Linked DNA regions of Schizosaccharomyces pombe. The protein of the gene in region 2 interacts with the protein of the main gene of each other region in a biochemical or structural test. Each region holds a gene or a part of one and is shown on either strand. Other genes may lie near its edges.

What was found.
Region 1: the proteins of act1 (region 2) and rng3 form a complex in vitro, tested with the Schizosaccharomyces pombe proteins (one study listed by BioGRID).
Region 3: the proteins of act1 (region 2) and wsp1 form a complex in vitro, tested with the Schizosaccharomyces pombe proteins (2 studies listed by BioGRID).

What each region holds. Positions count from the first base shown.
Region 1 is NC_003421.2:86,893-90,726, forward strand, and holds the start of rng3 (UCS-domain protein Rng3), read right to left. Parts: upstream 1,797-3,834; 5' UTR 1,719-1,796; coding exon 1-1,718. Other genes in the region: rpl35 (60S ribosomal protein L35), read right to left, coding at 2,013-2,244, 2,529-2,665; rpl902 (60S ribosomal protein L9), read left to right, coding at 2,888-3,457. UniProt on the Schizosaccharomyces pombe protein: Essential for actinomyosin ring assembly during cytokinesis. Has a role, in conjunction with F-actin, in assembling myosin II-containing proteins, such as myo2, at the division site.
Region 2 is NC_003423.3:1,475,383-1,478,982, forward strand, and holds act1 (actin Act1), read right to left. Parts: upstream 1,952-3,600; 5' UTR 1,895-1,951; coding exon 767-1,894; 3' UTR 103-766; downstream 1-102. Other genes in the region: spore wall alpha-1,3-glucan synthase Mok12, read right to left, coding at 2,722-3,600. UniProt on the Schizosaccharomyces pombe protein: Actins are highly conserved proteins that are involved in various types of cell motility and are ubiquitously expressed in all eukaryotic cells.
Region 3 is NC_003424.3:4,861,798-4,865,631, forward strand, and holds the start of wsp1 (actin assembly factor), read right to left. Parts: upstream 1,711-3,834; 5' UTR 1,652-1,710; coding exon 1,436-1,651; exon of another isoform or gene 1,351-1,435; coding exon 10-1,350; exon of another isoform or gene 1-9. Other genes in the region: SPOM_SPAC4F10.16C (P-type ATPase), read right to left, coding at 2,164-2,740, 2,787-3,834. UniProt on the Schizosaccharomyces pombe protein: Has a role in regulating actin assembly, so regulating polarized growth.

The DNA.
Region 1 (3,834 bases), on a different chromosome or scaffold from region 2:
TGCCGACTTTCTTCATCATGTGAAGCAAGATTTGTTAGCGCAAGTAACACTTCAAATTTCCCCAAGAGAATTGGATACTCAGTATCAGCAGAATTAGTACTTAGTAACTTTGACATAGGATGAATTGCTCGGTTCGATGGAAACGCCTTAGTAAATATACTATGAGGAGCCACACTGATAAGAATTTTCGCTAATGCAAAAGCCGCATTCGAATCCTGGGTTTGGATAAAACATTGTCTAGTAAGGAATTTCAATGCACCTATTTGTACTAGCTTGCGACGTGCCAGCTTGTAATTAGCCATGTGTACAAGTATCATTGCTAATAACCCGTTTAGGCTATTATAGTGCTTGGCCGCTGAAAAGAGTTTTGACAGAATGTCATATTCTAAAATTTTTTGAATCCTCCGTTCAGTAGGAGCGGTTTCATCTTCTTTGTAATCAATAGTTTTTGAAGCTTCAGCCATGTTACGAAGTTGGTTCAATTCTCTTTCATGCTCCGATTTTGTGATTTTGAACTTGCACATATTGTATATTATTGTAGCAATAGAACTTGCATCCAACGGTGAAATGTTCGTATCTAAAAGCAGTTTTGATAAATTATTTAAAAGACAGGAATCATCGGCAATTAGTTGCTTTACGGGTCCGAGAGTAGAGGATTGTCGTAACGCTTCTAATAAAACTGAATCATATACTTTACTCTGCAATAGAAGCTTTAATGTAGGAATAACTTGAGAAAGCTGGTACTGAAATGCTAACTTCATTGAAATGAGTATAGCAACTCTTGAAGTGTGATTATCTTTGATAAATTCGCTACATTCTTTGTGAATGATAGCACGGCATTCCTTAAAGTTGCAGGCAGTATTTAAGATATTTAGCCATTCCTCTTGAAGTCCATTACGTTCAGCTAATTCGGTCCACTCATGACAGAACTCGGGACTTATAAAATCAGGGTGACTAGGTAAACACATCAATAAAAGAGAGGACATCCTTTCAAAAGAGACTGGAATAGTTTCCGGTTGGCGAGCTAGAAGAACGCAGTCCTTGGCAAGCACGAAGGCAAGGTTGGATGGACCATCTTGGAAGATAATCGCACTAAGAAGCCTGTAATTAGGATTATTTAAAAAGGCGCGTCGAGCATCAGTAGCAGAGGTGAGAGATTGAAGAAGATAATTTCGGTTATTAGCTTCTTGACAAAGACGAGCAATCTCATTTGCCGTTATTGAAGAAGGAGAAGAGAATAGTTCATACAGTAGATATTTTTGAGTTTTCTGGGGTATAATCTTTTCATTGACTATAAGCAGCTCAATGCCAACAGTTGAAAGAAAGAAAAGTTTTAATGGAAAGTCCGTCGGACATATTGAAGGCTGGGATACAAACCGTAAAAACGCGTCTCTTAGCTGCTTACACCAGTCATTCAGAGGTGGAAGTAGTACAAGTGAGAAAATACGCTTTGCAATAGTTTGCAAGTTTGCGGGTAAAATAGTATCTACACACAAAACGCATTCGTGCAAGTCTTGTAAATTACATAAGTAGTTCCATTCTGAAGCAGCAGTGGACTTTGGACTTAAAAGCACAATCGCAGTGCTGATTTTAGATTTAAGAATTAGAGTAACGATTTGCTTCTTTTGGTAATCAGAAAATACGTTTGACTCCACTGAATTTTTCAGAATATCATTTAAAAGGTCAATTTGAGGTGTTGAGGAAAGCTCGTGGGTCATTTCACTTTTGTCTATGCACCAGAATAGAAAAGGTTTATGATAATGGAAGAAACAATTAACGGGGGCATACAAGTAATTGGTAAAATATTAAACGCCGGTACGTCCTTAGAACTAAGATGGTAGGAACAGGATAAATGCAGCAGCTAAGACGTAACCCGACTCTATGTCAAATTTGGGTAGTAACTACTGTTTAACACTTACAATAATACATATTAGCCTAGGACACTACAAATGAGATTTTTAATTAATTAAGCAAGGTAAAAATGGCAAGTTTTATTTAGCTACAAAAACATTTTAGGCCTTAAGAGCATACTTGCGAAGGGGGAAGTAGCGCTCCTTCTTAATTTGCTTAAGAGTCTTGCGGCTTTGCTCATAGGGAGTAAGAGCGCGACGGATAGCACGAGTCTTCTTTTGACGGAGATCAAGAGGAATGTACTTCTTGTTCTTGTAAGCCTCACGAGCGGCAAGACGGTTGGACTCGTTGATAACAGTCAAGATACGAGCAATGTCCTTGCGGGTAGTCTTACTATAAATAAGTTAGCAAACATTGAACAAGGAACATCATAATGTTTAGAAGATCAATAGAAACTAATAAAAACCGATGCAAAGAATTGGTTGGCGACATCTAAAAAGGTGCTACAAGCTGTTTTTGACCTGGAAAAAACTTTTCACTTTTTCCATCGGTCCAGAAAGACGGAAAAAATATGCCAACGCAGGTTATTTCATGTCCACTGTTCTTAGATGCCTTCTAAATACATTTCCAGTACTGCTTCTCACAAAGCAATACCTATTTCCTAAGAATTTACTTACATCTTAGACAATTTAGAACCAGAACCACCGGCAATCTTTTGTACGCGAAGAGAGGCAAGCTCTTGACGGAGCTCTTGTAATTGCTCAGCCAAGTTCTCTTGCGATTGCTTACGAAGTTCAAAGGTCTTTAATGCCATCTCGTCGTCGTCGTTGGTCAAGAGTAAACTCAGCGACACTGTTGCTTCCTACTAAAGTTTCCACCAAAGAAAAGCAGTCACACTAGTGCAAGTCAACACGCTGCGTAAAACGTCTCGTTTCAAGCTCGAAACTTTCGTGACTGTTTTTTATGAATAGACAACTGAAGCCAGACAAACAACCTGCCGAACGCCGTACGTTAGAAAAAATCAAACAACAGCAACATGGGCCGCGATATTTACAAGGACGAGACATTGACGATCCCTGAGGGCGTTTCAGTTGACATCAAGGCTCGTTTGGTGACTGTAAAAGGCCCTCGTGGTGTTTTGAAGCAAAACTTGCGCCGTGTGGATATTGAGTTGAAGAAGCAAGGCAACACTATCAAGTTTATTGTCTGGCATGGCTCTCGTAAGCATAATGCTTGCATTCGTACCGCCTATTCCATCATCAATAACATGATCATTGGCGTTACCCAAGGTTTCCGCTACAAGATGCGTCTTGTCTATGCTCACTTTCCCATCAACATCAATTTGACTGAGAACGGAACCGTTGTTGAGATCCGTAACTTTTTGGGCGAACGTATTACTCGTGTCATCAAGTGTTTGCCTGGCGTTACCGTTTCCATTTCTTCTGCCGTCAAGGATGAGATTATAATTGAAGGTAACTCCTTGGAGAATGTTTCTCAATCCGCTGCCAACATCAAGCAAATTTGCAATGTCCGCAACAAGGATATCCGTAAGTTCTTGGATGGTATCTATGTTTCTGAACGTGGTAACATCGAGGAGTTGGAATAGATGTATCACATGCAAAATGAATGAAAATGGTTTGTTGGCGATTTCAGACAAGCTAAAAGGTCCGAACGCTGTGGTGAATTGTGTAATTATAGAGTAATGCTTGGATGGGTTTAGCACTAGCTTTTTTGCAATGACTTGTAAGTCTCATTGAGAAAGTACGTACTGCTTATAGTAAATACTTATTAAGATTATCCTGTTTCCTCCACTAGATATGTAGTTTAGCAAACACAGGATTGTATCAATGCAATACAAGATACCAACTTCTTTTTTAGTTGCCATACTCTGAATAACAATTACTGCTACTCATGTAGAGCTTGGTTGAGAAGATGTAAACAAATTGCAATATTCAGCCCAACGCTGCTTTGCATCCACTTGAA
Region 2 (3,600 bases):
ATAATTCACTACTTCCTCTCTTTTTATATTTGAAGAACACTAATCATACCAATGTCTTACAATTTATAAGAATTTTACCTCAACTATACTATCCAACAATGATCATATACCATGTATGTATTAAATCTTTTTTTGACCTAATAAACTTTTGCTAATACTAATGTAAAACACATTCAACCATTTGGCTTCAAAGTTATACAAGTTCAGGTACCAATTAAATCAGTACTGAAGATGATACAACTCTACAGGACGAAAAGAAATGGCTGATGAAGTACATTGCACCACTTCCGCTTCTAACTATCTCGCAGTTACCACCTTGTACAAAATAAAATTCGTAAAAATTAACGGGAGTAAGTAAAATTCATTTACTACAGTTCTTTAATCGATAATCACAGCGATAAACATAACGAAAATATCGACAAAAATAATCGGCCGGACTCGAGAAGAAACATGTTAAAGAAAACGGGAAGTTATAAGCGAATGAAGTAACATCATAGGTATCTACTGGAAATATTTCTGTAACTTCAATATGTAAAAGGCTAGCTCTGCATTCGTCTATAATGAAAAAAAGAAAACAGAGCAAGAAAACGATAGTAATCAGAAAGTATATAAAACACTCCAATAATTGATACCCAAAGTTCCTCATGAGATGTTAAGAGCGGAAAAAGGTGGTTAAATAGGTAAAAAAAGATTGAAATTTATATATATCAGAAGAATCGATGTTATTCAAAAGTATGTAAAAAACGTTACAAAAAGTAAGAGGAGCTTAGAAGCACTTACGGTAAACGATACCAGGTCCGCTCTCATCATACTCTTGCTTGGAGATCCACATCTGTTGGAAAGTAGAAAGAGAAGCAAGAATGGATCCACCAATCCAGACAGAGTATTTACGCTCAGGAGGAGCAACAATCTTGACCTTCATGGAGCTAGGAGCAAGGGCTTGAATCTCCTTTTGCATACGATCGGCAATACCGGGATACATAGTGGTACCACCAGACATAACAACGTTACCGTACAAATCTTTACGAATATCAACATCACATTTCATGATAGAGTTGTAAGTAGCCTCATGAATACCGGCGTTTTCAAGACCCAAAGCTGAGGGTTGGAAAAGAGCTTCAGGGGCACGGAAACGCTCGTTTCCGATAGTGATAACTTGACCATCAGGAAGCTCATAAGATTTCTCAAGGGAGGAAGATTGAGCAGCAGTTTGAAGTTCTTGCTCAAAGTCCAAAGCGACGTAGCAAAGTTTCTCCTTGATGTCACGAACAATTTCACGTTCGGCGGTAGTAGAGAAAGTATAACCACGCTCCATGAGAATCTTCATAAGGTAGTCAGTCAAGTCACGACCGGCGAGATCAAGACGCATGATAGCATGAGGAAGAGCATAACCCTCATAAATGGGAACAGTGTGGGTAACACCATCACCAGAGTCCAAGACGATACCAGTGGTACGACCAGAGGCATACAAAGACAAAACAGCTTGAATAGCAACATAAAAGGCAGGTGCATTAAAGGTTTCGAAAATAATTTGAGTCATCTTCTCACGGTTGGATTTGGGGTTCAAAGGAGCCTCAGTCAACAAGCAAGGGTGCTCCTCAGGAGCAACACGAAGCTCGTTGTAGAAAGTGTGATGCCAAATCTTTTCCATATCATCCCAGTTGTTGACAATACCGTGCTCAATGGGGTACTTCAAGGTCAAAATACCACGCTTGCTTTGAGCTTCATCACCAACGTAGGAATCCTTTTGTCCCATACCTACCATAATACCATGGTGACGGGGTCTACCGACAATCGAGGGGAATACAGCTCTAGGGGCATCATCTCCAGCGAAACCGGCTTTGCACATACCAGAGCCATTATCAATAACCAACGCTGCGATTTCTTCTTCCATGGTCTTGTCTTTTGAGGGTTTTTTGGTTCGTTACAAAAAATGTAGTTGGTAAACGGTAAGTTATAACACGGCTGGCTGAGGTGGTATGAAGCCGTTGATTACATATAGATAAGATACACAGTTATACAGTGAAAATCTCTTATATATTTTAAAATATACATTTAAGTATAATGGGTGTTTAAATATGTATGAAATTGCTATATTTGAGCCACTTTTTTGATAAAGCCACACACAGCGTTAGCACTTCACGGCAGAATGCGCACGGAAGAAGACCGCGGAAACGGATAACATTGAGCAACCGGTTGTAGTACTGTAAGCGATATAGCAAATCCTTTAAAAGCTCTTATAAACATATAAGGAAATATAATTTCCGCGTTATTTAACTTGAAAAGCAAAAAACAAAAGAAAATGAAAGTTCACGATATCGAATATAAAAGAGATGGTCATAAAAATCTTATCAAAATTCACAGACAAATCTTCAAAGGTATTTCAAGTATTTGCAACTCGCGTGTCCCTATTTTATTAGTATTCATTCGACATTGTTATGATCAATAATTTAACACTAGCAAAAAAAAAGGTAATTTTTTTTTATCAAATGGCTATTAAATTACATCTAATTAAAAATTTCTCTTGATACAATGTATTATAGTTGGGTTGAATCGTATACTATAAAAATAATTAGTGATCAAAAGAATGAATATTAGTTTTAATCAAAGATAGATAAAAGTATAAGAATAATCATTAACATAAAAATTAAGATGTCATAAAATAAAAGAAAAATTCAGTAAAAACAACCCAAACACCGTCTCATTATCGTAGATCAAACACTAAAGAGCAAGCTGACTTTTACGATAGTGATAGAGCAATCCTCCAACAGCTACAAATTGACATATTAGTGCAATATAAAAGCAAGGTGATGCACAAGGTCCCGGTCCTTCGCTAGGATTCCATGCACCAAGATTTGGGAATACTCGATCACTTACAGGCAGAGAAGGTTTTGCGATCATAATTGTAATACAACTTATAACTTGCGCTAGCATCAACGTGAAAGCAACATGATCTCTCGCCAGGGTTTGCAGTAACATTACACCGACACCGACTCCCTGTATCCCGTCCCATAGAGCTAGCAAAAGCCATACTGACTTCGTCAGCAAGGCAGAAGCCTTACCAGCCCATGGTAAATTAATTCCGAGACCCGAGGATGACCAAAACTCTAAGCACCAGCGTGGACAAATGAGGCCCAATCCAAATATCACTGGAAACCAAACGTTATTAAGAGACAAAATCTTTATAACTGATAAGAGAACGGCCCAAACCACGATGAAGAAAATGAGTAAAAGAATGATTATGCTCCACAAAGGAGTGTTGCTAGTATTCCAGAAAAACCTCCAAGCCTGGCCATAAGGGACAGCAAGCCAGTAATTGATTAAAATTTGAGAGATAAAAAACCAAATTACAATATTTCGTTTTCCTAATGAACGATAAAACGCTGGAATGATAGAAGGAGCTTGGCGATAAAAAGCAGGTAAACCTGCGAATGTTACGTAGGAAAGCCCGAAGCAAATGAAAGAGGCGATAAGTCCCCCTGCAAAAATGCCAGGCCCCACATTTTGAGTCAAATCTTTCTTCGATAATAGATCTCCCCATGACCAGAGGATTGCAGACCAAATCTGTTGAATCCCATGTACAAGACAGGCCCTCAAAAT
Region 3 (3,834 bases), on a different chromosome or scaffold from region 2:
AATACTTACCCTGCTTTTCAGTAAATCCATACCACCGCTGGCTCTGATACTGGCCATTAAATTAGCACGGCCGTCTTGTTGAGGCAATTCAGCTATCGAAGCAACAGGCGCGGCGGGCGCAGGAGCTGGAGCTGGAGGAGGAGCTGGTGCAGCGGGAGGCAATGGTGGAGCAGCTGGCATACCAGCGGGTAGAGGAGGAGCAATTGGTGCACTAGGTGGTAGGGGGGGAGCAGCTGGTGCGCCCATAGGTAGAGAAGGTGGTGCACTGGGGGGCAAAGATGGAGGTGCACTAGGAGGAAGAGAAGGAGGTGTAGGGACAGGAGGTGTGCTTGTTCGTGATGCATTACCAAGAGGGGGAAGTGCAGGCGCAGAACGACCAGGAATAGCTGGAGGAGGGGCTGGTGGGTTTGAAACTGCACGAGATGAAGATAAAGGGGGTGGTTGTCTCCCAGTGGAAGGAGCAGACCTTGGAGGAGGTGGAGGAGGAGCAGATCTACCTTGAGGCGGCAAAGGAATTGAGCCAGCAGCATTAGATCTAGGAGGTGGTGGAGGTGGAGGAAGAGACGAGTTAGAAGAACCATTACCAATCGGTGGTTTACCACGATTACGACGGGATGGAGGCGGAGGCGGAGGAGGTCGTTTTTTGTTAGCAGCTAGAGCTGCCGCACTGACTCTTGAAGATGGTGGAGGGAGTGGAGGTTTCGAGGTGGAATTAATAGCAGGATTCATCGAAACAGGAGCGATAGGACGGGGAGGGGAGTTAGGAGGAGAAGAGACAGTTCCATTAGATGGAGGTGGAATTGGGGGAGGAGCAGGTGCAGACAAAGAAGGAACACGCTCTGGGGGACGAGAGGAAGGAATGCTTGGAGGGATGGGAGGTGCAGAAGTACTGGTAGGTGTACCAGCTGATTCATTAAGGTACGCTTTGACGAAATCTGCGTTTTCAGCAATTTGATCCTGGGAAATGCCCATCTTCATTAGAGAATCAATTAAGCTCGGATCAAGCGAATTTAAAAGCTCGGGCTCATTGGGACTTTTAGATCCAACAGCATTATAATTTTCCTTTCCAGGTACAGGAGGAGCAGCTGAGGGAGGTTGGATATTGCTGTTGTTAGGCGCATGTCTAGAAGAACCTTTTCTGGTAATAAATGACAAAACCGGATTCTCAATTGATTCAGGATGGCAACCTTTATCTAAAACCTTTTTGTAAAATTTTTGAGCGTCTGTCTCGTTTGCAAAACTAAAACCTGCTAGGCATTTATCAAGCTCGAAAGAATGAAAAAATGTACGATCTTGGCGATAGTCCATATTTTGATAAAGCTCTTGGTCCCATATTATACCACTATTATTCTAAAACGTTAGAAGGTTATAATTCAATTAAATTGTATACCACTCTTTGTAGTTTGCTTTGAGTATCAAAGCTTCATACACATACCACAACGTCAACCAGTTTAAACCAACAGCATTTTGCTGTTGTATCATAGGACAATACAAGAGCACCACAAAGACCTGTATAATTCCATTTGTTCGGATCAGGATAAGCTACATATAGCTTGACGACGGCTGCTGCAATGATTTTATTTGTGCTTTTAGGTATGTATTTACGGATAGTTGCCTTATCCTCTTGAGTTATAGAGGAAGATGGAGGCATTTGAATTTTCGGATTGTAATGCAATTCAAAAATTGCTGTCTCACAGTGGTATAAGTGGTGTTTTGGTTCCTCCCGTTTGTTAGCATTTTCACTGTAGTTAACAAGCCAATGAGTGATAATTAGTGTAGTATACTATACTACGCTATGTACTATAAAAATTTGCAACGCACTTATTAGCAGCTGGTAAATTTTGCTAATTATATTAACTGTTTATAGATTAATAAAACTTGAGACATTAATTCGGGTTTAATATTTTTTACATTCTACATACTTATCGTCCTCATTGTAAAGAGGTAAATAAAATTTATTCAACCATACGAAGTTTGCTTGTCTCATAATGTTAGTTTATTATAAGATTATTAAAAAAATGACTTAATCATAATCATTAATTATTAGAAAAAAAAGGGAACATTAAGAAAAAGTCATTCGTGATGTTGAGGATAATAAAAAGACTCTCGTCCGGTAGGAGTAGTATAACTACATAAACAAACAGTGCGAACTCAGATGTATGGCTACTTATTAGAATCATCGAATGAAACTGAAGTAACAATACCGGAATTTTTTTTCGAACTTAATGGGTCGTTACATTGTTCGCACATTTCTATATCTGTTGCAAATGATGAACTACTGCTAGTCTCATCATCTGACTTTGCACAAAGTCGTCTCCGTAAAAGGTCAATATCTCTAGGATAAAACAATTTTTGTAAGCAAATATAGGAAAAGCGAGGCAACAAACATAAGGCAATGGTTAAAACAGTAACACACCAAAAGCCAAAAGTTTGACAAGTTCGCGAAGCTGATTTGTGGAAAGCGTAAGAGGGGCCAACTTCTGAATAAATAAATGTCCATATCCAAAATACACCTATGCTGAACATCCAAGTAATAAGTGATATTAAATTCAATCTCTCTTGATTCATCAATATAAAAATGTTGATTACAAAAATAGTAGGAGAGGATATAAAAAGTCCTATGTCTTCTATACACTCGATGTTCCTTCCAGTCCAACTTACAAAATCACCAAACTTAAAAACAAATAGAGCTACCCCAAAGCATACCAATGATTGATATATTCCATCTAGCATGTAAGACCTAAAATAAATATTTAGCAAACAGAAATCTTCAGAGTTATACTTACCAAAATCTCTTTCCGTTCCATTCTAGACCTAAAATTCCCCGTTGGTATAAGCTTGGATTTTTCATTGAAACAGATGCGTCAACGTCCTGGTCAAAACAACCTGCAATAATTACGGGTAGTGATGTGAACAGCAGATTAAAAAGCATCACGTAGGTATAATCAAATATGTAGTTTCCATCAAACTCGTTATAAAATTGATACCAAAAAAGTATAAATGTCCAAATAACATTTTTGTAAAAAAAGAATGAAATCATTTGAGACATTCTTTTATAGTCCCATCGTCCATGAACTAGAAGTAGTCGCCCTAGGAAAGAAAATTGACCGATGGCATAATCCGCCGACATTGAAGCTGCTTGCCCTTCAACGCCTTTTATCCCTACTCCAACGTCGGCTTCTTGAATCATCGAAACATCATTAGCGCCATCTCCAATTGCTAAAGTGACAACATTTAGACTCTTCTTGACTAAAGCAACAACAGCTGCCTTCTGAGAGGGACTAACCCTGCAGCACAAAACTGTCTTACACTGCTTACATAACATTAAAAAAAGAAAAGAGACCTGTTCAGACAAAACAAAGTTCAGGGCATCCCCATCAATAACTATGGCGTGTTTCGGAGATGGCGGACTGTGGTCTTTCAACAAAAATCTGAATTCTTCATCCGTTCCCATGTATCCAAAATTAAAGCATAATGTGTTTCTAATAAAAGCTTCTACTTCTTCTAAGGCACCGAAAGAGTTTGCATCAATTCGAAAAATAGTCATGTTTGGATCAAGAAGATTGCATGAATACCCAATGTTGATTGCCGTTTCTACCTTATCACCAGTCAACACCCACAACTTAATTCCAGCAATAGCCAAAAGAGCGATAGTTTCTGGTACATTCTCTTGAAGTTTATCTTCAATTGCTGTTCCACCGAGTAATTCAAGCTCTTGCTCAATCATCTCTGAAACTTTACTGACCTTTTCGTTCCGTTCATGAATGGCACTATTAGCTTCGTTGAAATTCACTTTCCATTCAAGATAATCTTGCTTATCAATAGTTCGACGAG